7 linked regions of the Sus scrofa genome follow. The protein of the gene in region 4 interacts with the protein of the main gene of each other region in a pairwise test. Links are inferred from orthologs where the notes say so. Each region holds a gene or a part of one and is shown on either strand. Other genes may lie near its edges. The genes, in order: DTNB, LASP1, PIN4, ZBTB9, PIN1, EIF4E2 and EHHADH.

The links.
Region 1: the proteins of ZBTB9 (region 4) and DTNB interact in binary tests that used the Homo sapiens proteins (3 or more experiments, as listed by UniProt). The two-hybrid records come from large-scale screens. The link is inferred for Sus scrofa from reciprocal best matches to the Homo sapiens genes ZBTB9 and DTNB.
Region 2: the proteins of ZBTB9 (region 4) and LASP1 interact in binary tests that used the Homo sapiens proteins (3 or more experiments, as listed by UniProt). The two-hybrid records come from large-scale screens. The link is inferred for Sus scrofa from reciprocal best matches to the Homo sapiens genes ZBTB9 and LASP1.
Region 3: the proteins of ZBTB9 (region 4) and PIN4 interact in binary tests that used the Homo sapiens proteins (3 or more experiments, as listed by UniProt). The two-hybrid records come from large-scale screens. The link is inferred for Sus scrofa from reciprocal best matches to the Homo sapiens genes ZBTB9 and PIN4.
Region 5: the proteins of ZBTB9 (region 4) and PIN1 interact in binary tests that used the Homo sapiens proteins (3 or more experiments, as listed by UniProt). The two-hybrid records come from large-scale screens. The link is inferred for Sus scrofa from reciprocal best matches to the Homo sapiens genes ZBTB9 and PIN1.
Region 6: the proteins of ZBTB9 (region 4) and EIF4E2 interact in binary tests that used the Homo sapiens proteins (3 or more experiments, as listed by UniProt). The two-hybrid records come from large-scale screens. The link is inferred for Sus scrofa from reciprocal best matches to the Homo sapiens genes ZBTB9 and EIF4E2.
Region 7: the proteins of ZBTB9 (region 4) and EHHADH interact in binary tests that used the Homo sapiens proteins (3 or more experiments, as listed by UniProt). The two-hybrid records come from large-scale screens. The link is inferred for Sus scrofa from reciprocal best matches to the Homo sapiens genes ZBTB9 and EHHADH.

Annotation. Positions count from the first base shown.
Region 1 is NC_010445.4:113,473,383-113,477,197, reverse strand, and holds the end of DTNB (dystrobrevin beta), read right to left. Parts: intron 2,560-3,815; coding exon 2,526-2,559; intron 737-2,525; coding exon 305-736; 3' UTR 189-304; downstream 1-188.
Region 2 is NC_010454.4:23,225,485-23,229,299, reverse strand, and holds part of LASP1 (LIM and SH3 domain protein 1), read left to right. Parts: intron 1-111; coding exon 112-259; intron 260-667; coding exon 668-771; intron 772-3,622; coding exon 3,623-3,796; 3' UTR 3,797-3,815. UniProt on the Homo sapiens protein: Plays an important role in the regulation of dynamic actin-based, cytoskeletal activities.
Region 3 is NC_010461.5:58,068,448-58,072,762, forward strand, and holds the start of PIN4 (peptidyl-prolyl cis-trans isomerase NIMA-interacting 4), read left to right. Parts: upstream 1-1,310; 5' UTR 1,311-1,416; coding exon 1,417-1,459; intron 1,460-4,172; coding exon 4,173-4,246; intron 4,247-4,315.
Region 4 is NC_010449.5:29,753,098-29,757,616, reverse strand, and holds ZBTB9 (zinc finger and BTB domain-containing protein 9), read right to left. Parts: upstream 2,889-4,519; 5' UTR 2,453-2,888; coding exon 1,046-2,452; 3' UTR 49-1,045; downstream 1-48. UniProt on the Homo sapiens protein: May be involved in transcriptional regulation.
Region 5 is NC_010444.4:68,714,405-68,718,723, reverse strand, and holds the start of PIN1 (peptidyl-prolyl cis-trans isomerase NIMA-interacting 1), read right to left. Parts: upstream 2,827-4,319; 5' UTR 2,772-2,826; coding exon 2,714-2,771; intron 190-2,713; coding exon 1-189. UniProt on the Homo sapiens protein: Peptidyl-prolyl cis/trans isomerase (PPIase) that binds to and isomerizes specific phosphorylated Ser/Thr-Pro (pSer/Thr-Pro) motifs.
Region 6 is NC_010457.5:133,059,718-133,064,189, forward strand, and holds the start of EIF4E2 (eukaryotic translation initiation factor 4E type 2), read left to right. Parts: upstream 1-1,482; 5' UTR 1,483-1,618; intron 1,619-3,077; 5' UTR 3,078-3,134; coding exon 3,135-3,154; intron 3,155-4,472. UniProt on the Homo sapiens protein: Recognizes and binds the 7-methylguanosine-containing mRNA cap during an early step in the initiation. Acts as a repressor of translation initiation.
Region 7 is NC_010455.5:123,103,415-123,106,997, forward strand, and holds the end of EHHADH (peroxisomal bifunctional enzyme), read right to left. Parts: coding exon 2,526-3,583; 3' UTR 671-2,525; downstream 1-670. UniProt on the Homo sapiens protein: Peroxisomal trifunctional enzyme possessing 2-enoyl-CoA hydratase, 3-hydroxyacyl-CoA dehydrogenase, and delta 3, delta 2-enoyl-CoA isomerase activities. Catalyzes two of the four reactions of the long chain fatty acids peroxisomal beta-oxidation pathway.

The sequences.
Region 1 (3,815 bases), on a different chromosome or scaffold from region 4:
CCGCCGGCCCGCCGGGCTCTGCGGCCCAGGATCCCCTCTCCAGCCGCGGCGGGAGGAGGCCGTAGCAGGGGCTGCAGGGCAGAGCTCTCTCTGCTCCCGCTTCCCGCCTGGGCTGCTGAGCGGCGGCACCGACCGGGGCGGAAGCCTAAGCAGTGAGAGAGAAAGGAAGGAGGCTATTTTTAGCACTGTGGCCAGGGTGTGAACGTTTGTTGAACTGAGCAGGGCCTGAAGCTGTCTTTGCACGACAGAGGGAAGAAAACCTGTTGGCTTTTAAAGGTCAAAGGTCGGGAGAAAACTTGTGCCCTCACCCTGGGGGACAACGCGCATGCTGGCGAGATGCCAGCAAGAACTCCATCAGGTCACACACACAGGAGAGTCGTGCTGTTTCTTTTCTCTTTTCAATCTCCAGTAAATTCCCTGTTGCAGAGATGAGACCATGCCCGGAAGGGAGTGATGAAGATGCTAGTTCATGCAGGGCTGTGCCAGGAGGGGGGCGCGCCCCTCCCACTTCCCAGGGGCTCGGGCTCCCCTCTGCCTGGCGGGTGGTGACGTCTGGCAGCCCGCAGGCCTGGTCCAGGTGTGCCGTGGAAAGATGGACAGGAATTCGCCTCTGGGGGAGGACCTCGCCTTCCTTGTGTTGGTGCCAGCTCGCTCCACGTCCCCCGTGCCTGTGCAGGACAGACGCACTGTGACTCACAGGCACTGCTGAGGGTCTCCGAGCAAAGGCTGCTAACATCTGCCGGGAACAAGACAAACGTGCAACGTTGGTGCTGCTGGAATGCGCACCTTTCAACTTTCAACATGCAAAGGGCTGACAATACTCACACCCCCTTTTAGGGAAAGGGGGCTTCCTTTTTCTGGGGGTACCTCGAGTCTTTGGAGTGCTTGCTTAGGTCACAGGGTCAGGAAGCGTTTCCAGGGAAGAAAGAAGGGTGTTCACAGTGCAAGGTTTTGGAATGCGGGAGGCTCAGGGGAAGAACTGTGACTGAGAAGGGCGAAGAGGTCGGGGATGTGCCGCAAAGCGCTGCGTAGAGGGAGGGAAAGCCTGAGCCTCACGGCCTCAGAGGAGCAGAAGGCAAGGGTCCGTGAAACTGCCCCACCTGAGCGTTTATGCTTTTCATTCTCCGCTGCTGCAGAGTTTCTCATAACTCCTGAGGGGTCCGAGGACAGCACTAGGAGCAGAAGCTCCAGCTCCGATGCCAGTTCTGGCTCCAAGCTCCTGGGTAGTGGGCCTTAGCTTCCTTGTGTGCATGAAGTGGGGGCGGGCCTGATGGCTTCCTTGTCCCCCAGGACCTCTGTGCCCCGGGAAGAGGGGCTCTGGCAGGCTCCCCCAGCGCAAGTCAGCTACGGACTCGCTTGCTGGCAGAGGCAGCCAGGCCTGCTGTCAGGAAGGGCCTTGTCCGCATGCGCAGTGAGCTCAGGCAAAAGCCTGCCCTGGGGCCTCGGGGGCTCCGGGATTCCCAGGGCAGGGAGGGGATTCCTGCAGCTCGGGGCTGCCCATCCTTAGCCTGCACGATCCCGGAGTCAGTGGGGGCTCAGAGACAGCAGGCCCCAGAGAGCGAGCAGGACAGAACCCAGGGCCTGGTGCAGCCGGGGGGCGGGGGTGTCAGGAAAAGGCGGGAGGCTGCTCCAGGGGGAGACGCCTCAGAAGGGCCTGAGAAAGTTCCTTTTCTGGATCATGGGCTGCAGCCCTGGCTTTTCTGCCTGTAAGATCTGTAACCGAGGCCTAACTTTAAACACAGGAGATGGGGGAGGGAGGGAAGACTCTTATGGCCGCATCAAGGCATCTAGCCTGGAAAGAACTCCTCCTGAACGGACGCGCTGTCCCCTTATTCCCATCCATTCCCATCCTTCCGGGGCGCCTGTGCCAAAGCTGCACTGCCTTGGAACTGGGACCCGTTAAGAGTTAAGGTCCTCAGATGGAAAAACGCGAAAGATTAATTCCTAATGGCAATGGGCATTGGCCTGCGGGGAAATCTGTACTGTTATTAAAATTTTTTAGGAGGTGAAGAAACAGTGCAGCTTGGCCAGGCGTCATGGGAAATGGCTTGGTCAGCTTTATGAATCCTGTGTGACAGAAACACGTGGTGGGTTCCAACTCTGGGTGACAGAACCTCAGGGGTGTGCTTGCTGGCTGTGGTTTGGAACCCCAGAGAGAAATGACATGACAGTGGCGGTGGGAAATCAGGAGCAAGGAGGCAGAGCCGTCCTGGGAGGTGAGCTCTGGCGCCTGCTCCCAGGGCCTGTTCCAGCCAGCAGTGTCTGGTCTGCCGCCTGTATGCAGACACAGGGGACACGAGGGCCTGCCTGCGGCCCAGGCCCAGGGCAGTGCAAGACAGATCCGGCCGGGAAACTGGGGCAAGCAGGTACACCAGCAGGGCCGTACAAGAGAAGAGGTGCAGCGGGGCTCCTAGAGGAAACCCCAACTTGCATCTCATGTGCTGGGGTGGCTCTGGCTTAAGAAGCATGACCGAGGAAAGGCGGGTGGGGAAGGGGCTCTGGGGGCCGGCAGAGACACTACTCACCTCGCTTCCTCTCTGTCCCGGCTCCTCCGCTAACCTGTGTGCAACAGACACAAACAACACACCGAGGTCACAGCCGGGGTCTCCTCACCCCCCGCCTCTTCTCCTAGGGGTTCCCTGCCCTGGGGGCTCCTGGCCTGGCCTGGCCTCTCCCCTTTGTTCCTCATTGGTCCACTTTTCCCCGACCAGGTATGAAACAGGGGAGTCAGACTTCCTACAACCAGCAGCTGCAACTGACATAAAACAGCCTTGGAGACAAGTGGCTCTCAGGAAGAGGAAAAAAATAAGACTAACATGGAAAGGAATCCACCTTAAATCTAGGGAGCAGTTCTATTGGGGGCTCCGCCCATCGGGTTCTGCACACGAACAAGGTGAAAATGATTTAAACTTTGATAAGAGCACAATTTCCCTATCTGCTTGGGATACTAAATCATAGTCGGGCTCACCCTGGAATCCTGAACCACTGCCTGGACCCTCCAAAGCCTGCTCTCTTTTCACCAAGGACCGCTGCTGTCAGTCTACCAGACACGCACCAGCCTGAAGCGTGCCAAGCGGATTTACAGCTCCTGACACTGTGGTGGCAGGCTGTGGGGGAGGTGATTTTGAAGGACACAGGCATACAACATGAGGCTCTGGAGTAGCTGAGATGAATTTAGGGCTCTGGAGTAATCTGGGGGGGAAGGCAGGCTAGCCCATGTTTCATCTACGGAGTCTTGGTTATCCGTACCGACCACGCGAGGGAGCAGATGCAAAGCAGGAAGGGTGCCCAGTGGAGCAGAAGCATTGGTCAGGATGCAGCCGGACAGACAGCTGGGGAGGGCAGGGAGCAGCTCGAGGGAGAGGTGAATGTGGCTGCCAGGTCAGCTCGGTCATGAATTCTTCACAAGTGCCCACCTGGGAGTTCCCTGGTGGCTAGGCAGGTTAAGGATTCAGCATTGTCAGTGCTGTGGCTTGGGTCATGGCTGTGGCTTGGTTTGATCCTTGGCTTGGGGACTTCTCATGTGGCAGGCATGGCCAAAAAAAAAAAACAAAAAGTGCCCATTTAGCTCTCATGGTTTTCCCATTGAGCAGACTATGCCTGACGAGGTGCTGACCAAGTGGTGTTTGTATTATGTCAGTATGGTTTCAACTCCAAAGACGCAAATCTTCTCTCTCTTTGTGGTTGCTAGTTAGTGCTCTCTAATGCCTTGGTGACAGTAGTTAATGCTACCTCAGTCTATGATACAATCTGTTTTTTTTGGTCTTTTTGCCTTTTTAGGGCCGTACCTGGGGCACATGGAGGTTCCCAGGCTA
Region 2 (3,815 bases), on a different chromosome or scaffold from region 4:
GGCTCTCTCTGCCTGGAGACCTCCAGGAGTCTCTCCCATCCCAAGTGGTGTCGGAAGGGAGCTTTGGTGGGTTTGCTGTGGGTCCTTCAGCAGCACTTTCTGCCCCTGCAGATAAAATACCACGAGGAGTTTGAGAAGAGCCGCATGGGCCCCAGCGGGGGTGAGGGCCTGGAGCCCGAGCGCCGAGATGCCCAGGACACCAGCTACCGGCGGCCCCAGGAGCAGCAGCAGCCTCATCACATCCCGACCAGCACCCCAGGTGAGCGCAAGGCCTGCGGGGTCTGAGGACCTGAGGCCAGGCTGGCCACAGGGTGGGCAGGAGGTGAGACACACACACACACACACACACACACACACACACACCCAGGCTGGCCACAGGGTGGGCAGGAGGTGAGACACACACACACACACACACCCAGGTCCCATCCCTACTGAGGGCTGAGGGTCAGGGCCTGTGCTGGACCCCAGTGCAATGGGGGGGCGACACAGCCACTGCTGCAGGGTAGGGACACCAGCAAATGTGCTCAGAGGCAGAAGCCTTGAGAAGTGGGGGTTGGGCAGGGTTGGGGGGCGGTCATAGGCTTCATGCAGGAAGGGAGGGGGCTCTGGGAGGGGCTGGGTTTGGACACTGTCTTAGTGTCTGCGCCTGTCTCCTGCTGTCTTCCAGTTTACCAGCAGCCCCAGCAGCAGCAGGCGGCCCAGTCCTATGGTGGCTACAAGGAGCCTGCAGCCCCAGTTTCCATACAGCGCAGCGCCCCAGGAGGGGGCGGGGTGAGTAGCCCTGGTCGAGGTCAGGGGGAGGGGAGCTGGGGGAGGTGGCTAGGTTTAGGGAAAGGCTTCCTAGACTTGGAAAACCCAGAGGCCCAGCCAGCTTCCCCTGACCTTTGACCCCAGCTCCTCTGACATCTGCAGGTGATAAGGGTCTCAGCCTCTTGAGCAGAGAGGAAGCGCGGAGTAGTGGGCAGAGCCCTGGCCTGGGCCGGGCCACACTCACATCGTATGGCAGCTCCCAGGCTAGGGGTCCCAGGCTACGCCACAGCCACAGCAATGCTGGGTCCGAGCTGTGTCTGACCTACACCACAGCTCCCGGCCATGGCAGATCCTTAACCCACTGAGCAAGGCCAGGGATCGAACCTGCTTCCTCATGGATACTGGTCAGATTCGTTTCAGCTGAGCCACGATGGGAACTCCAGCCAACAGTTTTTAAATTAGAATCACTCACCTGGCGTTTGGCCTCACTGAGGGTCAGGTTCTTTGTGCCTCAGCGCAGAAGGAATTCAGCGAGAGGCAAAGTGACAGGCAAGAAATAGATTTGTTAAGGTAGGACCCTGTGAGAGATGCCAGTGGGCAGGCAACGAGGCTCTGCCCCGAGGATTAGGTGCGCTGCAGTTTTACAATCCAAGGGACTGGGGTGGGAAAAGACTGCCTCTTCATCTTTCAAGTAGTAGCTCCTCCTTGGTATCTGGTAAGCGAGTGTTTGACCCTATAAGCTTAAACTAGAACAGTCTTGGCGCTTATTCACATTTGCACAAGGATTGTCTTTAAATTCCTGCCCTTAGTCTGAGCCTGAATGCAGGTCTCGCTCCATCCTCCACCCAGTGACCTCAGGCCTATCCCTCCCCGCCACTAGTCAGGCAATCCTGCCTTGTTCTCATGGCTTTTTTGAGCAATTATTAACTTACAGTGATCTCCCAACGTTCCTTAGGTTTCTCTATCTATGTTCGGTCCCTTATTGGGACTCCTACAACTACCTGTGTAATGATCCTACTCCAGCCCTTATCAGTATCTGGGGTGTCAGGCGGGCCCAAGGGAGCATCTGAAGGATGAGGTTCCGGATGGACCAGCCAGTCCTTCAGATACTCACTAAGTCCACCCTGAACATGAGGGATTTGGCTCTGAAGAAAGTCCTCCTTCTCGGCCTCTTGGAGCTTACATCCAGTCTGGGAGACAAACATGAAAGCAATAGATAAGCAGAAGTAACGAAAGGTCAGAGATAAGCCGTGAAGAAAAAGACAGCCGGGTGAGGGGAGAGAATGACAGTTCTCAGGAAAGGATTGAGTGGTGGAGAAGGCCAGCAAGTGCAAAGGCCCTGAGGCAGCAGTGTTCTAGGAAAGTTCCAGGATCAGCAGGAGGGCCAGGGTGACTAGGGAGGGGAAGCCGGTGGGGAGGTGAGGTCCCATCCTACAGGGACTTGGAGGCCACAGGAAGGCTTTTGTGAACTGGGGAGCTGTGCAGGGCGAGGGGTTTGACTTGTGTTTTTAAAAGATGGCTCTAGCAGCCGTGTTGAGAAGCAGCAGTAGAAGACGAGGGCAGAAACAGGGAGATAAACTCGGCTGATGCAGCTCTAGGTGGTGGCCAGTTGGCCCGAGAGATTAGAGGCAGAGCTGGTGATAAGGGAAATGGCTGCGGTCACTGCAGTCATTTCCTGAGGGTTGTGACCTCTTAGCCCATAGCCTTCGGGGCTGATGGAGCTGGTTTCTGCTGCTTGATCAAAAGTCTGAATTTTCATGCTAAAGAAGATAAGGGGCCTCTGAAGGATTTAAAGCTGGGAGTGGCATTATCAGGTTTGCATTTTGGAAAGTTCCCCCTGAGATCAAAAATGGATGGACAGGGAGCTCCCGTTGCGGAGCAGCAGAAACGAATCCGACTAGGAACCGTGAGGTTGCGGGTTCGATCTCTGGCCTTACTCAGTGGGTTAAGGATCTGGCGTTGCCATGAGCTGTAGACACGGCTCGGATCTGGTGTTGCTATGGCTGTGGTGTAGGCCGGCAGCAACAGCTCCGATTAGACCCCTCGCCTGGGAACCTCCATGTGCCGCAGGTGCAGCCCTAAAAAGACAAAAAAGTAAAATAAAATAAAATATGGATGGACAGTTGGAAGAGGCAAACCAGAGGCTGGACGGTACAGGCTGAGCTGACCCCCAGAGACAAGTCCATGTCAAGGGCAGCGAGGGTCAGAGGGCGTTCGAATCTTGCCTGCCTCCAAGATCACAGATGGGTTTCATGTGTTTTTCTTGGACATTTCCTAGAGCTGGGGCTTAAACACAAGATTTTTGCTGAAGTTGGAAGGTGGGACCTGATGGTTTTTCTCTCAGGAGTTGTTCTTTGTCTTGAACTTGGGAAGCAGATTCATCAACAGCTTTAAAAAAAGAAAGTCTAGTGTTTATAGTAATACAGATCATTGCAGACCAGGAATATCATTTTTTTCTTTTTTTGGTTTTTGCTTTTTTTATCTGTACCCGCAGGCATGTGGAAATTCCCGGGCCAGGGGTCGAATCCACGCCACAGCAGCGACCTGACTGCCACAGTGTCAATGCCAGGTCCTTAACCCACCGAGCCACCAGGGAACTCCCTGGGTATGTTTTTAAACTACCTGGGGCAGTGTGCATGGGACCTCACCTGCACTCCTGTTCCCAGAGGTGGGGCAGAGCCCTGTTGGTGGCCTGGCCCTTAGCAGATGCCAAATGCATTGTTTGAAAGGTGGCTGCTCTCAGACAGTGAGATACCCAGGTGGGAAAATTCTTGGCAAAGCTCCCAGCTCCCGTTCCCCTGCTCCTCCGGCCTCTGCTCTGGGGTCCCAGAGACTTAGGCCCCTGGGACTGACTGTGCCTCCACCCCTGCAGAAGCGGTACCGCGCCGTGTATGACTACAGTGCCGCCGACGAGGACGAGGTCTCCTTCCAGGACGGGGACACCATTGTCAACGTGCAGCAGATCGACGACGGCTGGATGTACGGGACCGTGGAGCGCACCGGCGACACGGGGATGCTGCCGGCCAACTACGTAGAGGCCATCTGAGCCCGCTGGGCGCCGCCCC
Region 3 (4,315 bases), on a different chromosome or scaffold from region 4:
AAGTAAAAATAAAAAACAAAAACCCAAAACCAAACCAAACAAATATGAACTTGTTGAATACTCTTATCCTTTAAGTAAATATTACTATCAGCAGTTCCATTTTACAGATGATGAAACTGAGCCAAAGAGAAGTCAGGTAACTTCCTCAAGGCCATCTAGGTAGCCAGATGGTGGAGCAGGGATTTGAAGCCAGGTAGTCCAGAATCCACGTTTTTAACTGTATTATGCTTCACTGTGATAGAAATTTTGGAAAATAAGCAGAAACATACACAGGAACTTGTACTAGCACCACTGAGCACACCTTGCTGTAGCCTTCCCGTCTTCCATATGCACATATTATATAGTATACAATATACTTAAAAAGAAAAGAATCATAGGAGTTCCCATCTTGGCTCCGGAGTTAACGAATCTGACAAGCATCCACAAGAATGCAGGTTCAATCCCTGACCTTGCTCAGTGGATTAAGGACCCACTGAACAAGGCCACTTGCCATGAGCTGTGGTAGGTAGGTCGCTGTGGTAGGTAGGTCGCAGATACAGCTCGGATCTTGCGTTGCGGTGGGTTGCTGTGGCGCAGGCCAGGAGCTACAGCTACAATTCGACCCCTAACCTGGGAACCTCCATGTGCCGCGGGGTGCGGCCCTTAAAAAAAAAAATCATATTTTTTAGCTTGGTCTATAACCTTCCTTAAGGCCATTTCTTGTGTCTGTACCCACAGCTTTACACCCATTATTTTTAAAGGGGCCTATCATTTTGTGTTATCGAAACATTATTCATTTAGGCAATGTTCGACATTTAGACTGCTTCCAATTTTTCTCCATGAGAGTTCTGCAAGAGGCAGGGGGGTGATATCCTTTTTTAAAAAACACTTTTTTAACTAAGTCAGCTACAAGCTGCAAAATCAACTTTAAAAACGAAAACCCAAAAGAGACAATCTGCCGCTCGCGTGCAGGATGGGGCAGGACCGAGAAGCAACCGCCGGGTCGCTTCCCGCTTTGCCTTTGTCTGCCCGCCGCGCGAGAATAAGTAGAGCCGGGGCGAGGGACTGCAGAAGCCCGCGGGTACCACTACGCATGCGTGGAAGAGGCGGGCGGGGGAATGAGGGAAGCGGTGCACAAATAAGGTCGAGAGACAGAAGCAGCAAATAGCGCAGAGGCGGGGTTTCCCGTCCCTGCCCAACCTCTAGCTCCGCCCCCCTACCCGGCCCGAGCTTTTTATTGGTCAGATTTGTTTAGCCCCATTGGCCCTAGAGCCAAAGGACCGGGTCTGCCCCAAGATATGCCTGCTTCCTGAGCCGCAGTAAGAATGGCCAATTGCCATGCCGCTTGCAGGCATATGTTTAGGACATACCCGTGGGGCTTGAAGGGGCTTTGTGTGGCAACTAAAGCAACTGAGAGTTCGACGACCAGTTTCGGAGATGCCACCGAAAGGAAAAAGCGCATCGGGAAAAGGGGGGAAAGGTAGAGCAGCCAGAGCAGCTGAGGAGAATGGGGTCGGGTGAAGAGCGAGGGAGCAGACTGGGGATTCCCGGGATCTGGGACGGAGGCAGCGGGTGGCTAGTGACTAGAGCACTGACCAGGAAGTGATATAGTGAGAATTATAGTGATAATTGTTGGAAGCAGTGTGGACTTCTCAGGAAAATTTTTATTTAAAAGCATGGGGGAGTTACCTTGTGGCTCGGCGGGTTAAGAATCAGGAGTTGTCACTACAGCGGCTCGGGTCGCTGCTGTGGCACGTGTTCGATCCTTGGCCTCAGAACTTGCGAATGCCGCGGGGGTGGGGGGCAAAAAATGGGGATTAGATGGTACATAGAAGAGGATTACGAGAAAGTTTGAAATTTTGATTTTGTTTGTTTCTTCACAATGGGCAAAACTTGGGAATGAGGCTGACAGATCCAGTAGGGTTTGAGAGGGAAAGGTACAGAGGCGTGAGACTTAGGAGAAAAACGGTGGATCAGTTATTCTTGGAATAGGAGAGGGTCACAATATGCTTGAGGTCACAGGGAAAGAGATGAAGATGGATGTGATTGTGAAAATTGGAGCCAGAGAGGAGGAGGGGTGGAGTTTCTAGGAGATCAGGTTTAATGACCTCAATATTTTAATAAAGTGGAAGGTAGGGGTAGTTTTTAAGACTCAGGAGGCAGGGACGGAGTAGGGGTCTTGAAGAGAGTGGTAAAGGTTTGAAATTGTCGTTGGGATCATGGGAGAGGGGATGAAACATTAATAAAAGTGTCGCCTTCAGGGCTGAGAGCCTGAATAAGACTGAAGGCCATGACTTTGTAGAGGACATAGCACAGTCATGATTTACTGAGTACCATATAACTGACACAATACAGGACTGAAAAGAGCTAGGTTGTAGCCTTGAGCCAAAGTTAAGATTTTGTTGGACAATGATAACAGAAGAAGAGCAATGTAAGGGAATTACAAGTACCAGTGGAAACGCAGTTCAGATGATCAAGCATGGGATCCAGAGTGGGAAGGGAAGGAGAAGTCTGTTAGTCTAGGGGAACATAGCAGGATAAAGGGATTGAGTGGGAGAGTGGTTTTTGTGGAATTAAAGGGCCTGCGTTGTGGGAATGAGGCATGAGAAAGCTTGGAAGGACAGGAAATTGAGCCAAAGACTGAACCACTAGTTCTGAGTGGCACAGTTCCATCGTGTGCCCCTGGGAACAGGCAGCTTGGAGTAGAAGGCATGGACATTTGGGATGGAGCTCCAGAAGTGCGAGGTTAGGCTGTTGGATGATTCCTCTGCATAGGTGGTAAGGTCATCTAAACTCATGGCAGGAGTGAGGGTGGAATGGAAGCTTGAAGTTGGTGCCAGAGTCCTCAGTCAGAGCCAGTGAGCTGGCCGTCAGAAGATGATAGCATCGAGTAGGGGAGAGGATGGGATAACTGGAAGGCATTATTGTTCTAGTGTCAGTGTACAGCAGACTCACTTAAGAATTTGATGTAATAAAACTCCTGTGGCCGTAACATTCTCCTAGCCATTTGGTGGTCAGAATTTTGGGTTTTCAGTTTGGTTGAACATTTATTGAACAACTGTTGTATGCTAGGCAGTGGAGATCCAAGACAAGTAAGATGGAGAGTCCTGAATAAAACTTTTCAATGGCTCCCTATTACTCCTAGGATCAATTCCAATTTCCTTAATGGGGCCCAAAGACCCGCATACCCTAACCCCCAGCCACCTCCCCTGGGCTCATCTCACCCACTCCCACCTCAGATTTGGCTTCATCCATAGTCTTCTACACATACTGCACTGTTCCCCCACCCTGAAGCGTCTCCCCGCCTTTGTTCTTTCTTTGCCTGGTCAGCTCCTACTCATCCAAGAAAACTTCCCTGACTGGCTAAAATATCCCTCTTTGCTTCCACAGCCACCTGTCTGTAGAGCATACCTCATTCTCCTGAAGAGATCTGCTTTGCATAACTTTATATAACCATCTTCCCAGTAGTATATGAGCTCCCTGAGCAAGGGAGCTTGTTCATCTTTATGTCTTTGCCTGGAACTTAGTTACTTAGGAAATGTTTATTGAACTGAACACTTAATCCAACAATAGTTCTTAGGAACATCAGCCTCCAACAGTAAGTATGCTGCCATCAGTGCAGAAGTTGACATAGTAGCAAAATGACACAGTAGTAAAATGTAAAATGCTGCCAGTGGTTGTTAATCTGAATATCAGTAACTTTTCTTTGGAAGGTATCAATAGGCAATGTAGTAGACTCCAAGAGTCTGGACATGAATGTATTGTTTATCCAAATCTGGATGGTGGGAAATTTGATCTTTAAAATACATTCTTGGAGATTCTACTTATTGGAATTGTGAGTACTCAAATACATGGTTGCAGTGCTTATTAGAAATCTCCCAAGAGCTCAGTGGTTTGCCCTTAGAGGGCAGGATTTCAAAGTGGATGCAAGGAATCCAGGCTGGGCTTTAGGTGCTCCCATTCAACTACAGCACACTTACTTGTGTATCCATTTTCTGTGAAGGGTTTATGTAGGGCACAAATTTCCTGTTTGAAGAGAGGTGAATCATAGATTAATTTAGCTTCATGAAGTAAAGTGTCTACTGAGTTCCCTTTTGAAGCTTAGTGCTATGGTGGAAGTATCAACTCCTGTTATGTTGAACTTCTCTGTAAATAACAAGTTTAAATGAGTACCTGTCATCTCTTCTCTAAAGGAAAAGTAGCCTCTGGGAGTGACAGTGCTGACAAAAAGCCTCAGGGCCCCAAAGGTGGTGGCAATGCAGTAAAGGTGAGTCACTTGTTCTTTTTTTTCATGTTAAATACAAATAACATATATACCTGGTTATTTTGGTACACA
Region 4 (4,519 bases):
TCTGTTCTCACTGTCTCTCCCACATAAATGACTCAATTCAGTTCACTGTCAGCTTTGATTTCAGGGCAAAGTTTATTTGAAGAAATTAAGACACCTACACCAATCTCCCCACTCCAATATCTACCCTTCTACCTGTCCACCAAGGGCTGTCGCGTGTGGGTGGGACGGAAGGAGAGGGGCTATGGTCCCGCTGTGCAATTATTCTCTAGTTTTCAGCATGCGCCATCTCAGCCCTGAGTCCCTCTGACCGTGACCACTTGTTCAGAGCAGTGGTGCAACCCCTGAGATGGTCAGGGGCCACCCCCTGAGTCCCCTGGTCACATTCCAGTCACCGTGATCACCTGAGTGATCAGGGGGGTCAAAGGCAGAGAAGAGGCACAGACTGTAGAGGGAGTGCCCTCCACTAAAGACTGTTCTAAGTGACCCGCAGAATGCTCGACTGGTTAAAGTGCTCAACTACAACGTACAGAGACAGGTGTTGGAAAAGTTCCTACTGGTGAGAACACAATTGAGGATCTAAAGAGCTCATGGAAAGATACGACAAAAGGAGGATATCAAAAGAACTCTACTCACATAATTGCCGCAATGATGAGGGAGGAGAGCTTAGCACTTAGTCTCTGAATTACCAGGACTCTGAATCAAATGTATCTCTGGATGGAGACCAGCTCCTTTAACTCAAAAGAGCGTGAATGAAACATTTACCATTACGGTTTTCTGCTCTAACTCTTCTCTCATCAGATCAACTACTTTGAAATACGATTTCCTGCATGAAACCATAGCATGGACAAGTGATCAATTTACGAATGGCTATAAGCCATTTTCCTGTAGGATAGTCAGCAAGAACCCGGGCTGAGAGAAGGAACTGGAACTTCCAAATCTGCCAGGTTGACGCCCACACCCAAGACCATGAGGCTCATTAATTATCTACCCTTTGGGCATGATTAACGAGACCCCAGACTGGGGTGCCAGGGTAGTGAGGATAAGCAGGGGCTCCATCAGCAGCAGGGGCTCCCTTGTCCTGGGAGTCAGCACACAGCCTCAGCAGTCACTTGTACGTCCAGTGAGCAGTGGCCCAGCCCTGGCCCTTGCACAGGTCTCGGTGGCGAAGGAAACAGGCATGCACTCGGAACCGACGGCCGCAGTGGGGACAGGCGTGCAAGGCTCCTGCGTGGGTCTTCATGTGCTCCGTCAGATGGTGCTTCAGCTTGAAGCGCTTGTTGCAGACGCCACAGCCAAAGGGCCGAAGGCTGAAGGTCAGCATGATGTGCCGGTCACGCTTCGGCTTCACCGCAAACCGCTTCCCACACAAACAGCCAAAGCGCTTTCCATCTGCAGGCGGTGCCCCCCCCAGCTTCACAGGCCCATGCACAGCCTGCCCTGCTCCCCCAGGGCCCGCACCCCCCGACAGGATTTCATTCCCATGAAGATCCACCGGCTTCCAGGATGGACCTCCTCCTCCCGATGTTGACCCTGCGCCTGAGGGCAGCAAGAAGCCCAGCTCCCCGTTCCCTTCCACGTCCCCTGCAGGAAGCACTCCGGTCTCTTCCTTCGATCCTCCAGATTGCGTTCCGCCTCCTACTATCTCCTCCTTGGGCTCAAAGGGTTCCTGCTTAATGTAGAATATCTTGGGGGGCAGCGCAGTGTGAGGGGCAGGAGGCTCCAGCAGAGCGCTGTCACCCTCTGGAAGCCTGCGTGGAGTACTGGATGTGGGCAGCGTGTGGGATCCAGGAGGGCGGGGAAAGCTCCCTGATGCTCTTGGAGGCTGCGGAGTCTGAGAGGATGCTGCCGACCTCTGGCCCTCCTCTTCCTCCTCTTCTTCCTCCTCCTCCTCTTCCTCCACTTGAATCTGCAACACCTCTCCCAGTTCACTGCCGTCCCCTACGACGGGGCTCTCAGTAGAAGCCGAAGCCTGCGCTGGGGTCTGGAAAGAGGAAGAGCGAATGCACCAGCCTCCTGGAGAGGCTGTGGTGGAAAGAAGTGCGTGGAAAGGGGTGGCTGCCCGGGCTGAAAGTCCACCACCTGAGTTCTCCAGTTCTTTAAGAATTTCTGAGCACTGATCTACTACCTGCCACATCTGGAGGCCACTGGCCACAAGCAGGTGGGCTGGGAGGGCATCCAGTGGCAGACGGAGGCGCCCTGAATAAATGAGCTGCAGCAGCCCCTCGAAGGCATCGGCTTCAATGACACTGGGCAGAGTGAGCCGTGGCGCATCCCCCAAAAGCAGCTTGTCATGGAAGTAAGGAGAGGCAGCCGCCAGCACTGCTTTGTGTGCCCGAAGCTCGCGGCCCTGAACCAGGAGGGACACGTCACAGAACTTCCCCTCCAGCCGGTGGCGGTTCAGGGCTTCCAGCAGCAAGGAGCTGTGCTGGGGGAACTCGATCTGGATCGTCCGCGGGGCAGGGTTGCAGGCGGGGGAGGGGGCCCCGGGAGGCACAGGCGTCGAGGCAGCCATGGCCTCGTGGGTAAGAGATCTCCGAGGGTCGCGTACAGGCGACGGGGCAGGCCGGCGCGGGACGGACGCTAGGAAGGAGAGAAGGGTCGCGGGAGCCGTGCTGGGGGCACCGCGTCTCCCCGAATGCCCCCGCACTGCCCCGCAGAGGAAGCCAAAACAGTCTCCACGCCAAAGCACCGACCGCGGCTTTAACCTCAAGGCCTGGGGGGGGATGAATCCTTCGGCCACGAGCCGGGATCGCCGGCCGGGTCGGCTCCCGCCCGCCGCTTCGCTCCCACTCGTGCGCTCAGACTGCCCGGCTCCCAGGCGGTCGCCGCCGGGGAGACCACGAGCGCCGGCCAAGTTCCCGCCGCCACGCCCCCGCCGCTACACACGCGGCCCCCGCGGCGTCCCGAGCGCCTCTACAGCCACCTCGCCGCCCCGACCGGAAGTCGCCGCCTCCCCGCCGGACGCCGACGCAGAGGGCGGGGCCGGAGCTGCAGCCAATCGGGGAGCGCCGATCTACAAGCCTCGCACTGATTGGTTGTACGGGAGAGGGCGATGAGGGTGGGAGACCGCGGCTTCCACCCGGACGGCAGGTCTGGAGGCCCAGCCGCAGAACGGCGCACCCCGACGGAGTGAGCGACCCGGGAGCCTTTCCGGTAATTAGATGTAGCGCCCCCCTCCGGCAGGTGCTGAGAGGGCGCGACCAAGTGGCACCCGCAGTATGGGCTAGGGAATGCTCCCCATCACCTTGTACCCTCGCCCCCGGCCACCTGCGAGATAGGTGTTGCCAATCCTGAGTCTCCTCGGGGGAAATCGCGAGCGGCGGGCCTGGGGTTGGAACCCAGATCCGCCAAGGAACCACAGTCTTTTCCCCATTACGCACGGGAGCATTCTAACCAGCAGTTAAATAAATTTCCCTTTCTAGGTGATTGTTTTGAGGTGTGCGTAAACATATACTTGGCATCTTTTATAAGGGAATGCTATGTTCCTTGACCTCTTTACTCGGGTTAAGTGGTGCAGTGGTGAGGGGAGATGGACTGGGTAAGCTGGGCCAGTGCAAAGCCCCCTCCCTCAGACAGTAAGTCTCCTCGCTGGTTGGGATAGGGATATCCTAGGGGAAGCCTGTGGCACCACGCAGGGACATAGAGTTGCTCCCAGGCTGTCAACATTCCCTTCAAAAAGCAGATCCTATCGCTCTGCTGGTCCTCCTAGAGGTCCCGGCCTAGGAAAGTCAGCGCAGCGATAAAAGAACAATCTCCGTTTATTAAACATGATTTTTGTTTCACCACACACTCCAGAAAAAAAGGAAATGGGGCTGGGAGTGGAGAAAAAGAGGCAGTGGTGGGGGATAGAGTAGTCTGGGGGTAGGGTGGGGTGGGGAGGGAGAACGAGAAAACAAAATAAAACAGGTAGGAAGAATATCTCCTACCCTTAGGGTGTGGGTGGGGAGGAAAGTCTGGGGGGCAGGGGGCCAGGAAGCTCTGTACAGAGGGGTCGCCCCCAGCCCACACACACACACCCCGGATATGTACAGTACAAACCCCAGATAATTACAACAGCCAAAGAGAAGAGGAAGGGGGAGTCCAGGGGTAGGATCTGAGGTTGGGAAAGCGAGGAAAGGGCACAGGGATAAAATTTCACATATTTACAACTTTTATATAAGTATAAATTTGGCCCCGGCTGGGTGTAGGTGTGTAGGGGATGGGACTGAAGGGGAACTGTCCATACAAAAGAAAGAAGAGTGGAGTCTGGGAAGAGTCTCAATACCAAACGCAAGAAGGGGTGAGGGACTAGGCTGGGGAGGGGGCGGCAGTCGGGGAAAAGGGGATGCCAAGGAGGGGCCTCTTCCCTCCTGTGACCTAGCCCCCCCAAACCCCATCCACCCTACCTCCCCTATCCCGCCAGAGAGCTATGTACAGAGAAACACCGAAAAATTGTGGAGCTGGCGGGAGGGAGGAGGAAGGGGATTGGGGAGGGGGGGGAGGATGAGAGGGAAGCCCAGCCCAGTCCTGCCTCCCCCCCGGGGACAGAGTCATGGAAGGGGGCCCCCAACACCCCTCCTCCAACACAGGTTCCCCCACC
Region 5 (4,319 bases), on a different chromosome or scaffold from region 4:
CCTTAGTCCGGGTGATCTTCTCCTGCCGCCAGGATGAGGGCCGCCGGGACTGGCTGTGCTTGACCAGCAGATGCGAACAGCGGACCCTGGTGGGCTCTCCTTGTCCATTTTTGCTGCCGCCACTGCTGTTGCCACTTGGCCGCTCCCACTGGCTGGCATTAGTGATGTGATTGAAGTAGTACACCCGGCCTGGAAGAGGTGGAAGTGGAATTCAGCTGGGACCTGCTCACAGGACACCACTGGGAAGCCATGATCAGGGGCTGGCTGACGAACTACCTTTCATTCAGCAAGTCCCCAGTGCCACCAGGCCTTAGGGAGCTAGCATTCTAGCTGGGGACACAGACACCAAAGAAGCAAATGAGACCACCTTACAACTTCAGTCATTAATAAGGTCAAGGGGGGAGTGCAGGATTTTTGAGCACTAGCTAGTCTCAGACTACTTGTACTGCCTTACAATAAATGCTACACTTTCTTTCACCACCAAAAAAAAAAAAAAAAAAAAAAAAAGTTCAAGGGGGAAAATAACTGAAGGTTAGGAAGAGAGGAAGCCTCAGGGACAGAGAATGGTTCCAAGCATGCATTCAGCAAGGCCGGTCCAAATCTGTGGCTCCACCACACCCTCACATGTGATCTACCTTCCCGGGGCCGTGGTTTTCTCGCCTATAAAATGAAAATAAGGACAGTACCTGCCTGAAGGAGTGACTGTATGAATTCACATCTGCAAAGTACTTAGGACAGCACCTGGCACACTTAATTAAGAGTGTAGGAGGAGTTCCCGTCATAGCTCAGCGCTAATGAAGCAGACTAGCATCCATGAGAACTTGATCCCTGGCCTCGCTCAGTGGGTTAAGGATCCAGCGGTGCCGTGAGCTGTGGTGTAGGTCACAAATGTGGGTCAGATATAGCATTGCTGTGGCTGTGGCATAGGCTAGCAGCTGTAGCTCCAATTTGACCCCAAGCCAGGGAACTTCCATATGCCATGGGTATGGCCCTAAAAAGACAAAAAAAAAAAAAAAAAAAAAAGACTGTGGCAGCTACTAATATCTCCATGTTATAGACCACAAAACTAAGCAACCTTCCCTGGGTATTTACTCTGCTCCAGGCATAAAAGCCGGGGGTGGGGTGTGGTGGGGGAGATAGCAGGATCTGTACTCAGGTGTGCCAGATGCCAAAACTCTGCTCTTTTCCCCTCTGGAGTGCACTGTGCAGCAGAACTAGGGGCCAGCATTACTGGGGGCCAGATGTTACCCAGAGACTAAGGAGCATGGAGTGAGGGCTGCAAACAAGAAACCTGAGGCCACTCTCTGGCCTTTTGAGATAATATTCTGTCTAAAGAATGTGCATCTTCCAGGCTGCTCTCACCTTCTGAGACGGCCCACACTGTATCAATAAATCTACTTCTTATCTAAGGAAAAAAAAGAAAGAAACTTAAAGTAGGACCCAGTAGAGATAGGCTGTCATTCCAGGGGCCGAGTTTGTCTGGGTTATATGGAGGACTTCTGCCCAAGACCGTGAAGGGCTGGATGTCACCCAGGAGGAAGACTGTCAGGGTTGAGCTGAGCAGAAATGGCAGGAGTGGAGGCCCAGAACTGAGAAGAGCATCAGCTTTTTTGCTGCAGGTCCCAGCCACAGGGCTGCAAGCAGGGTGGGCCAGAGCTGAGCCAAACAATGCCTCTAAAACCTTGGCAATGGGTTCCATCTCCCTGAACCTGAGTGTACTCATCTGAAAAGTGAGGGCAAGGTGAGAGAATAAAGATATAACACTTCATGGGGTTAATGTGGAGAGTCCATCATGATGAGTGCAAAGTGCTCGACAGAGCTCCTGGCGTTCAATAAATTGGAATTATTACTGTGACCATGATGATTATGAGCTATGGAGGCAGGGGAGTGAAATGGTGGGCCTGCATCTCAGAGGTTTACAGTAACAAGGGCAGGGGGCTCTGGAGTTAGACTGGTATCTAACCCAGCCCCCAGCCCCTGAAATGAACGACTATGGGCGAGTTTCTTAAGTTTTCTGGCCTCGGTTTCCTCACCGGCAAACTGGGTGTTATTAACTACCCTACCTCTCAGAGTTGTGGCCAGAGTACACACTTAACACCCTTAGCACAATACTTGGCACTGAGATAAGACCTATTATTAACATTATTATGGGGGAAAAGCCCTAATCGGCTCCGAGCACAGAGACTATTCTCAGGCAGATAACCTGAATTCTCACATTATAGCAAACTCAGAATTCGGTGTGGATGGCAGGCACGTTAGCAGGAGGTTTAGGATTCGAAGCCAAGCAACACCCTGGGGCCACGCCCTGAGCATGGTGTTGGGGTGTCCTTCCCCAGGGGTGCCCCTTGGGCCCAGCAGGGTGCAAAGACATCCCCCCCCACCCCCGCCGGATGTCAGGTGCATTAGGCTGAAAGATGTCAGCAAGATCGGCAGGACCAAGGCCATTGCCTGGGGGAGCGCCGCGGGTACACTGTCCCCCTACCACCCAGGCAGCGCGCCGGGCCTCTCCGACCCAGTCCCTTGCCTCAATTTCCTCGGGTTCCCAGCTCCTCAGGCTCGCAGCCCCGGGGAGGGCCGGGGCCGTTACCCAGGGACAACGCGAAGGAGCCAAGACCCCACGGGAATCGAGCGGCCGCCCGCGTCCGAGGGACAAGCTAGAGCCCTGCTTCCATGGGCCCACACGGCCCCGCCCCAGCCCCGACCCCCGCTGCACCTGAGCTGCGGCTCATGCGCTTCTCCCAGCCGGGTGGCAGTTTCTCTTCGTCCGCCATCTTCCCTCCTGCGGCAGAGCCCGCTCCACCTCCGCCGCACCGCCTCTGCCGCCCGTGCCCGCCCACCACCGCCGCCGATTGGCTGGCCCCGTCACGCCCCGGGGCATGGCGACGACACTCATTGGGAACCCTAACTGTCCGGATTGACTCTCTGGCTTCCTATTGAGCAGAAGAAGGAATAGGCGGAGCTTCACATATTTCACCAGGGCTGGGCCTTCTTGAGGGCCTCACCCAAGCCCCGCCCTCCCCCTTTCCTCGGCCCCTAAGTGGTGGGAAAAGGACCTGAGCCCGCCTAATAACGCCCTTTGGCGAACTTCAAAGAAGTTTCGACCCCGCCTTTGCGTCCTTCGCTGCAGAGCCCATTCGATTGGCCAATGCCGCAGCAATTCCCGCCTTCTTAAGCCTACCCCCAGCCGGCGCCCCCACGTGGAAGTGCCTGGCTGGTGTGAGGGTAACCGCCGCAGAGGAGGTTCTTGGAAAAGGCACGCTGCCTTTGCTGTTACCATAGCAACCCAGTTACCTTGGTGATGAACAGCTAAGAACCCAGAAGCCTAAATTTGGCTTCTCCACCCTCCCTCTTCCCACCTGTTCCTTCCACATGCCCAAAGCTAGCCCACCTCCTTTTAGTTTTGTGTAAGTCTCTTTCCCTATGCTACTTACCTAGACACCTTCCACTTCCTTTAGAATCTACTTTACTTCACTTATTCCCTCACAGTCTGGCTCCTGTCTCCATCCTGGGTGACTGGTAGGTGTTGGCATTGCCATTCAGATGGGGACAAGGGGGAAGGTGCAGGTGGGAAGATGAGGAACTCAGTTTTGAGTCAGTTTAAACTTAAGTCTGGCACATGTGGGACACACCAAGGAGGTGGTTGGAGACCTAGGGCTGGAGACAAACATGGGAGTCAAAACACCAACAGGGAAGAGTTCACTTACAGTTCATCTATAGCACAGGCACTTACGTAACCGCTGAAAAGAATGAGGCTCAGTGACATGAAACGCAGAGGAACACGTCTATGACAAATTACAGAGGTAGGATGCTGTAGGTTAAGAGCATTCAGGAGTCAGATTGCTTTGGGTTCAAAGCCTAGCTCTACCATTTGCTATTACCTTGAACAAATTACTTAACCTCTGCACTTCAGCTTCTCCATCTGTGAAATGAGTTTAAGAGATAATACATATCGTAAATACCTTTGATATAAAGATTAAATGAGTTAATAATCTATATAAAGCACTCAAAAGCAGTATCTGGTCTTAGCAAGGATATATGCTGCTCAGTGGAAAAAAAAGTCATTGTACAGTGTAGCAATTATAGAATGTATGAAAGCATAACAAAACCAAAAAAAAAAAAATTCAGCAAATAAAGGTTAATTTGAAAGAATGACATCACTTACAGAAAGATATCAAAGCTTTAAAAAGGCCTTAAAAAGCAAGCTGCTGAACGGTATGAATGTTATTAGAGTATGCATACTTAGTTGTGTAAAAACTGCAGTTTTATATCACAGAAAATTTCTGGATTCATTCAAATATATTAATGACTAACTTAAGCTC
Region 6 (4,472 bases), on a different chromosome or scaffold from region 4:
TTCCTGTATGCCTCTTACTAGCTTAGTCACCTGGTATTGGTCCCTCAATCTCTGACTGCTTCAGAAAGCGGAGATTAGCTCTGTAGCTCCTGGCAGAAATAAGCAACGATTAACAACAGCTATCGCTTATGAGGGGCACCTGTCTACCGCCTACCACTGACGGTCCCGTTCAATCCACACGCCAACCTGAAGAGGCGGATACTTTCAGTACAGGATCGCCAGTACCGTGCAGCCGCCCTGGGGGTGGAGTCGGGATCTGTACCAAAGCCATGGGTCCAGAGCCTGCGCCGCCGCCGACTCGGCGCTGTATTTCTCCGAACCTGCCCGGAGAAGGGCTCAGGACGCGCTCCCCTGGGCAGGGCGGGCGGCGGCAACCCAACAGAAACACAGCTCAGGCCCGCAGGCCGCCGGGTCCCCCAAACCCAGCGCCGCGGCGCAGCGGCCGGGGGCCGGCGTCCTGGGATACGCGCTCCCACCTGGCCGGCGCAAAGACGTTCCGCCGCGTCCCGCGCAACCGGAAGTGGCCGGACCCGAGGCGGAGGGACCTGGCGGAGCGGAAGTCACTCCGTGAGGCAGTGGCGACGGCGGCGGCGAGAGGATGAACAACAAGTTCGACGCGTGAGTGCCGCGTGGCCGACCCCCGGGGCCCCTTCCCCCAACCGCTCCCCGCGCCCGCCCCCGCCGGGACCGCGGCAGGCGCAAACTGCGGCACCGGCTCCCCTCCCTCGCTGGGGCTGCGGGCTGGCCCGGCCTGCGCGGCCGGCGGGGAAAGGGGGTTTGGGGACGTGGGATGCCGGGGTGTCGGGGGGTCCCAGGGTCATACGGACCGAGGACGACGTGCGGGGCGGGGGGGGGGAGGAGGTGGCCGTGCCGCCCGGAAGGGGATTTTTGGACGCCCAGCGCGGCGGGTGCAGGTTGCCCGCGGCGTGGAGGGGCGGAGACCTCGGTGGTTTGGGTGTTTCCGCAGCCTGTCTCCCTTGGCTCTGAATCCAGCTTTCCGCACACACTCACGGTGGCCTAGCGAGGTCCCGTCTCCTGTCTGTGTTCTCACTTGCAAAGTGGGCACGGTAACAGAGCCCATGTGGGAGAGTTGCAAAGATGCGGTGAGGTAATGTGGCTGCCGCGCTCAGCGCAGTGGCTGCTCAGTTACGGAATTCTCCTCGTCTTGCTGAGACTCCTTCCTGCTTCCTTTCTCCTCCCCCTCCTTTCCCCGTCTTCCAACACACTCCAAACAAGGGCGCCTCAGTTTCTTGCCCAGCGAGTTCACTTGTTTTTACCCTTCCTTTGCAGCTCTGTGCATATCTCATACGATTTCTAGTTCCAGCATCAAATAATTTGGAGGCGCAGGAAGGAAATGCAGTTATTTTTGCATATTTTCCTCCAGCGATTGTTATCACGGGATAGATTATGTTCTTAGCTGTCTTTTAATCGGCTAGTAACTCTATCTTCTCTTCCCAAGACCTAGATTTCCAGTCCCAGACCCACCAGTCACCAGTTATTTGACGGCAGAAAAGTTACCCGGTTTCTGAGCCACTGTTACCCAAACCACATTAGTGGTTAGTGCCCTGTTGCCACACTGAATGTGATATGGATCAGATCACATCCAGCCGTGCTTAAGGTACTTTGTAAACTGACAGGGAGATATAAATGTAAACTGAAATTACTCTTAGTTGAGGTTGCCACTCACTGTTGCTGATGGGAAATTTTGAGTTTTTCCAGTACAGTGAGTGCTGGTGGATAATTCAGAGGTCCTGGATTCCAGCCCTCCTGGTAACTCTTCAGGCATGTTTCTTGGTTGCTGAGCGGACTCTTGCTGAAACAACATTCCTTTTTGATTTTTTTGGTTTTGGGGTTTATTTAAACAAACAAATGCTTGCTTGCTTGCTTGCTTGTTTAGGGCCATACCCCAGGCATAATGGAAGTTCCCAGGCTAGGGGTCAAATTGGAGCTGTAGCTGCCGGCCTCCACCACAGCCACAGCAATGTGGGACCCGAGCCATGTCCATGAGCTACATCACAGTTCACGGCAATGCCAGATTCTTAACTCACTGAGCAAGGCCAGGGATCGAACCTGTGTCCTCATGGATGCTAGTCAAATTCATTTCGGCTGAGCCACAACAGGCACTCCCCCACACTCTTTTTTGGATGGGACTTGAACCCAGCCAGAACTCAGAATGGGACTTGCATCCACAATCCCCAGCTTAGCGGGGGACTCAAACCCACTTTTATTGTCTTTTTAGGGCCACACCCATGGCATATGGAGGTTCCCAGGCTAGGGTTCAAATTGGAACTGTAGCTGCTGGCCTACACCACAGCCACAGCAACACCAGATCCGAGCCATGTCTGTGACCTACACCACAGTTCACAGGAAGGCCAGATCCATAACCCACTGAGTGAGGCCAGGAATTGAACCTGCATCCTCATGGATGCTAGTCAGATTCATTTCTGACGAGCAACAACAGGAACTCCTCAAACCCACTTTTAATTGAAACCACTCACCTGGTGTCAGGACATACTGAAGCTCAGGTCAAGAGGCAAAATGATAGACAAGGGTGATTTATTACCACCGGATGCTTGTGAGAGAGAAGCGGGCAGGCCAGGGAGTGCAGTCCCAAAGGAAAGAGGGCTCTGTTTTTATAATCAAAAGAAAAAGTGGGTCCTCATTTTTGGATAGATGTCAAGGATCACATCATTAAATCCTCCTCTGGCCCTCTGTGGTCTAACCAGAACTGTTCCCACCGTGGCTCAGCAGGTTACCAACCCAACTAGTATCCATGAGGATGCGGGTTGGATCCCTGGCCCTGCTCAGCAGGTTAAGGATCTGGTGTTGCTGTGAGCTGTGGTGTAGGTCACAGACGTAGCTCAGATCCCGAGTTGCTGTGGCTGTGACCTGCAGCTGCAGCTCCAATTTGATGCCTGGCCTGGGAACGTCCATATTCCACAGATGGGTCCCTAAAAAGCAAAAAAAAAAGAAGAAAAATGGCAATAACGGCTTCCACATGCGTTGCTACTTTTCGTATATTATTTCTGTGTCTGCTAACAACCCTCTAAAGCAGATTTTGTTAACCTCCTTTATAGATAAGGAAAACGAGACTCTCTGAGATTAAATAACTTGCCTGCAACAAGAAGGGCCATATGGTGGGATTCAAACTCAGGTTTGTTTAATGTTGGTTCAAGTACCTCTTGACGAAAACTAACTTTGATCGTTTTTAATTAGTTTTAGTTATTAGCTATTTGTATGCTGAGCCAGATTTTTAAAATATCTGTTTTCTAGCTCTGCAGGAAGCAAAACTGTCTTCCATTTAATTAGCACCTGAGAACAACACCCCTGCCCTTAGTTTTGTTTTTGTTGTTTTTGGTTTTTATGCGAAAGAGTGCAGTTTTTAGGCTACTGCCTTGTATTTGGCCTCTGCACCCTTCACCACATGGCTCCTAAGGATGTGTTCCAGTTTGCCAGAATCCTGATCCAGTGCCTGGATTGAGTACTGTAGTCTAATCCGGTGGGTTTAGATTAAAGATGAGCTCTAGGCTCCCTTTTTGTGAGACTTTCCAGCTTCGTAACCTAAATGCCCCCCCACCCCCAGTCCTGAGCTCCCACTGGCCTTGATCCTGTTCATATGCAGAACCCCAAGAAGCCTTCACTGTACTTCAGTCCCTAAGGTATTGAGCTGGGTTTTTAAATTTAGATGCCATATTTGATTTCGTACCTGTTCTTTCTCCATTAGCTTTGGCTCATCTTTTTCTTCCTTTTTAAACATTTTTTTGGCCTTGTTTGTCGCATGTGGGAGTTCCTGGGCCAGGCATTGAACCCCAGCCACAGTAGTGACAATGCTGAATCCTTAACCACTAGGCCACCGAGGAACTCCAAGCTTTGGCTCATTCTTAACTGTTGTCTGAACAACTTGTTTGATGCGCATCCTCTTCTGCCTTGTGCTGCTTTGATTTTAGAAGTCCATTCGGAGTTCCCATCGTGGCGCAGAGGTTAATGAATCCGACTAGGAACCATGAGGTTGCGGGTTCGGCCCCTGCCCTTGCTCAGTGGGTTAAGGATCTGGCGTTGCCGTGAGCTGTGGTGTGGGTTGCAGACGCGGCTCGGATCCCGAGTTGCTGTGGCTCTGGCGTAGGCCTGTGGCTACAGCTCCGATTCGACCCCTAGCCTGGGAACCTCCATATGCCGCGGGAGCGGCCCAAGAAATAGCAAAAAGACTAAATAAATAAATAAATAAATAATTAAAAAAAAAGAAGTCTATTCACTAAACATGTGTGATTTCTCCCACTGCCTGATGCTGGACGTGTAAAGATGGATTAGACCACGTTCCTACCTGCAGTGAATTGTCTAGTCAGAGTACGGGGGTATACCTGGTGAGCTCATTAGGTGCCACTCAGTCTGGACAGCCTTAGATACTAATTGCTGCCTGAGGCTGTGGAGCACTGATTTTTCCCTGTGGATTTTATCATTGCTCTCATCCAGCC
Region 7 (3,583 bases), on a different chromosome or scaffold from region 4:
CCGTCGTGGCGCAGTGGTTAACAAATCCGACTAGGAACCATGAGGTTGCGGGTTCAGTCCCTGCCCTTGCTCAGTGGGTTAACGATCCGGCGTTGCCGTGAGCTGTGGTGTAGGTTGCAGATGCGGCTCGGATCCCGCGTTGCTGTGGCTCTGGCGTAGGCCGGTGGCTACAGCTCCGACTGGACCCCTAGCCTGCGAACCTCCATATGCCGCGGGAGTGGCCCAAGAAATAGCAACAACAACAACAAAAAGACAAAAAAAAAAAAAAAAAGAACTCAAAAAACCCTCAAAGTTAAAATTGACTCAAGGTCTAAAGAAAAATTTATGTTGTGTATTAATTTGAAATAAGTTTACATTAATTTGAAACTAAATCACTTTGGAGACAGTTACTATTTTCAGGAATATTTTCTTTTGATGTTTTTAATTTTAAGGACCAATTTATATAAAATCCAGCAATACTCATCTCAAAATTATTCTAAATTTAACTACAATTCAAATCACACTCCAGAAGTTTTTTTTTTTTCAGTTTGATTTTTACAATGGAAAATGTGTACTATATTCATTCAGGATTTCTCCATCAGAACTTTTGGTAATATTTTTGGGGTTAACTGATGAAAATATTACAAAAAAGTTTATTTACATCACCCTGAAGGATAATAACTTAAGCCCATTTGTTTGTTTATTAACTTTATTAAGATATAATTCACATACCATACAGTTCACCCATTTAAGGTTTACAATTCAATGGTTTTTAGTAGATTCACAGAGTTAAGTAACCATCACCACAATAATTTCAGAACATTTTAATCAACCCCCAAAGAAACCCTGTACCCATTCCAATCACTCCCCAGCCTCCAATCATTCCAGCCTCAGGCAACCTATAATCTGCTTCTATCTTAATATATTTACCTGTTTTTTTCACTTAGCATAATATTTGCAAGGTTCATTATGTAGCATGTATGAGCACTTAATTTCTTTTTATAATTAAATAATATCCTATTGTATGGCTATTCTACATTTTATTTATCCATTCATCAGTTGATGGGCATTTGGGTTGTTTCCAACTTGTGGTTATTATGAGTAATTCTGCTATAAACATGTGTATAAGTTTTGATGTTGACCAGCCCCTCAACTTTTAACTGTACAAGGCAAAAAGTAAAAAGAGAAGAATTCTTGTAACAAAACTATAAGAAATTTTTCTGTAATAATTTTAGATTTGTCAAGTTGTGACCATTTCACACCCAACAAAGGGGTGACAGCGGAACTGTCATGACAGAGGAACTAGCACCATTACTCTATCACATAGTCGAAGGAGGTTAGATCCCTGAGATCTCTTCTTATACTAAGTCAACGACTTACTCCTTCTTGAATATGAGTAAAGAAAGACCAGGTTGAAGTTCCCATTGTGGTGCAGCAGGAACGAATCAGACTAGTAACCATGAGGTTGCAGGTTCAATCCCTGGCCTCGCTCAGTGGGTTAAGGATCCAGCGTTGCAGTGAGCTGTGGTGTAGGTTGCAGACGGGGCTCAGATCTAGTGTTGCTGTGGCTGTGGCGTAGGCTGGCAGCTATAGCTCTGACTGGACCCCTTGCCTGGGAACCTTCCTTATGCCACAAGTATGGGCCAAGAAAGAGAGAGAGAGAGAAAGAAAGACTGACTGACCAGGTTGTAGACATCCTGGGTCCTGAGGAAATTACCATCAAACATTGGGAACAAACAGCAAAGACAACTATGCACATGGGCCTTGGACAGGAATGGTTATTGAGCATGACTTGCCACACTACCCTGAGTTCCACATTCTGGTGGGAAGATTGTGATTTCCTCACCAATTCCCAACTGTGTTTGGCCTACAGCATTAACACTGTTCTGCTGTTGATACCTTGTCTCTGGTTATCGCCTCTGCCTCTCCTTGGGCAGCTTTTCAACTCATGCATAGAGACCCTCACTGCCGACTCTACCCTGCCAACCATCTCTGCTCCACCTCTGAGGCTATGAACTGATCTTTATCCCAGCTTCCTTGCAGGATTAATGCCCCTCTGGACTCTAGATCTGTTGAGTGCTGTGCAAGATGCTCAGGGGGGCACAATAAATGTCTGTTGAGTGAAGGGTCCATAAGACTTCCTACATGTGTGAGGCTGAAAGGTCTCAGAATGAATTTAGGACTCAGCTGCATTTATCAGTTAACAATTGATGATATATTCCTCCAAAGATCAAAGAATTTGAGAACCTCAACTTATTCCTGAGGCTTTCTCCTTAGCTATTATGGTGTTAACACAAGTTTATTCCCCGTGATTAAAGTCATTTATCTGTTAGGGACAGATTCTGAGGCATAAGAAGCACATTCCTGAAGATCTGACATTAGAATTACCATCAGACAGAAGACCCAAAGAGGAAGTTTAGCCAACTGATTATTCCTTTTGCTTTGTATTTCAGAGCCCTCTTACTTTGGATCTTGGATTTAATTTCAATGAAATTCAGCAAGCATTACCTGATGCCAATATGTGAGTCAAAACCCAAAAGGCTGAATCACAACTTACTGCTGGGGGGTCCTGCCAAGCTTTGCCATTCTTTCAGGGGAGGGTTTCCCTGGGAAGCCAGTTTTTTCAGATAGTCACAAGGCTCTAGTTGGGGAATATCAGGATTCTGCCTGTGATATTTCTGCAACTTCTCTAGCACTGTGGGCAACCCAACTGTGGAAGCATAGAACATAGGCCCACCCCTGTGCCTTGGCCATCCATACCCGTGTAAATAGACCACATCAATGTGCTCTGGGGTAGCTGCTATCCCATCTTCCAGGATGCGGAATGCTTCATTGATGAGTGAATATAAGCAGCGGTCAAGGATCTCATCCCGGCTAATGACACGTGGTTCAATGTGATGGGTTTCTCTGTACTGTGTCAGAAATTTGGAAAACCAGGGATCAGGTTTGTGAATCCTACCCAATGGCTTATCATAAAGGTACCAACCCTTACCTGTCTTCTGGCCAAACCGTCCCAATTCACAGAGCATATCAGGAACTGGGCAGTACCTCTGGTTGCCTCGCTTTCGGGCAGAAGTTCCTGGAGGCAATGCAGGTCCAGTAAGACCTTGCCCTTTCCGAGATTTCCAACCTATATCCAACCCAGCAAGATCAGATACTCTAAAAGGTCCCATTCTGAAACCAAACTCTTCCAGCACCTGATCTATCTCCTCTGGCATACTGCCATCTTCTAATAAGAAATATGTCTGATCATAATAAGGCTTCAACATTCGATTTCCAACAAATCCAAAACAGTTGCCTACAACTACTCCAATTTTCTTAATCTTTTTTGATAAATTCATAACAGTGGCAATGGTAGTGGGGGAAGAGTATCGGCTGGGAATAACCTCTAACAACTTCATCACATGAGCTGGTGAGAAGAAGTGGGTGCCAATGACTAAGTGAGGACGATTGGTGGAAGAAGCAATTTCATCAATGTCCAGGGCGGAAGTATTGGTGCACAAAAATGCTTGTGGCTTGCACACGGCTGACAGTTCAGCAAAGACCTGTTTCTTCAGGTTCATTTCCTCAAATACTGCTTCAATGACTAAATCTACACCACTAA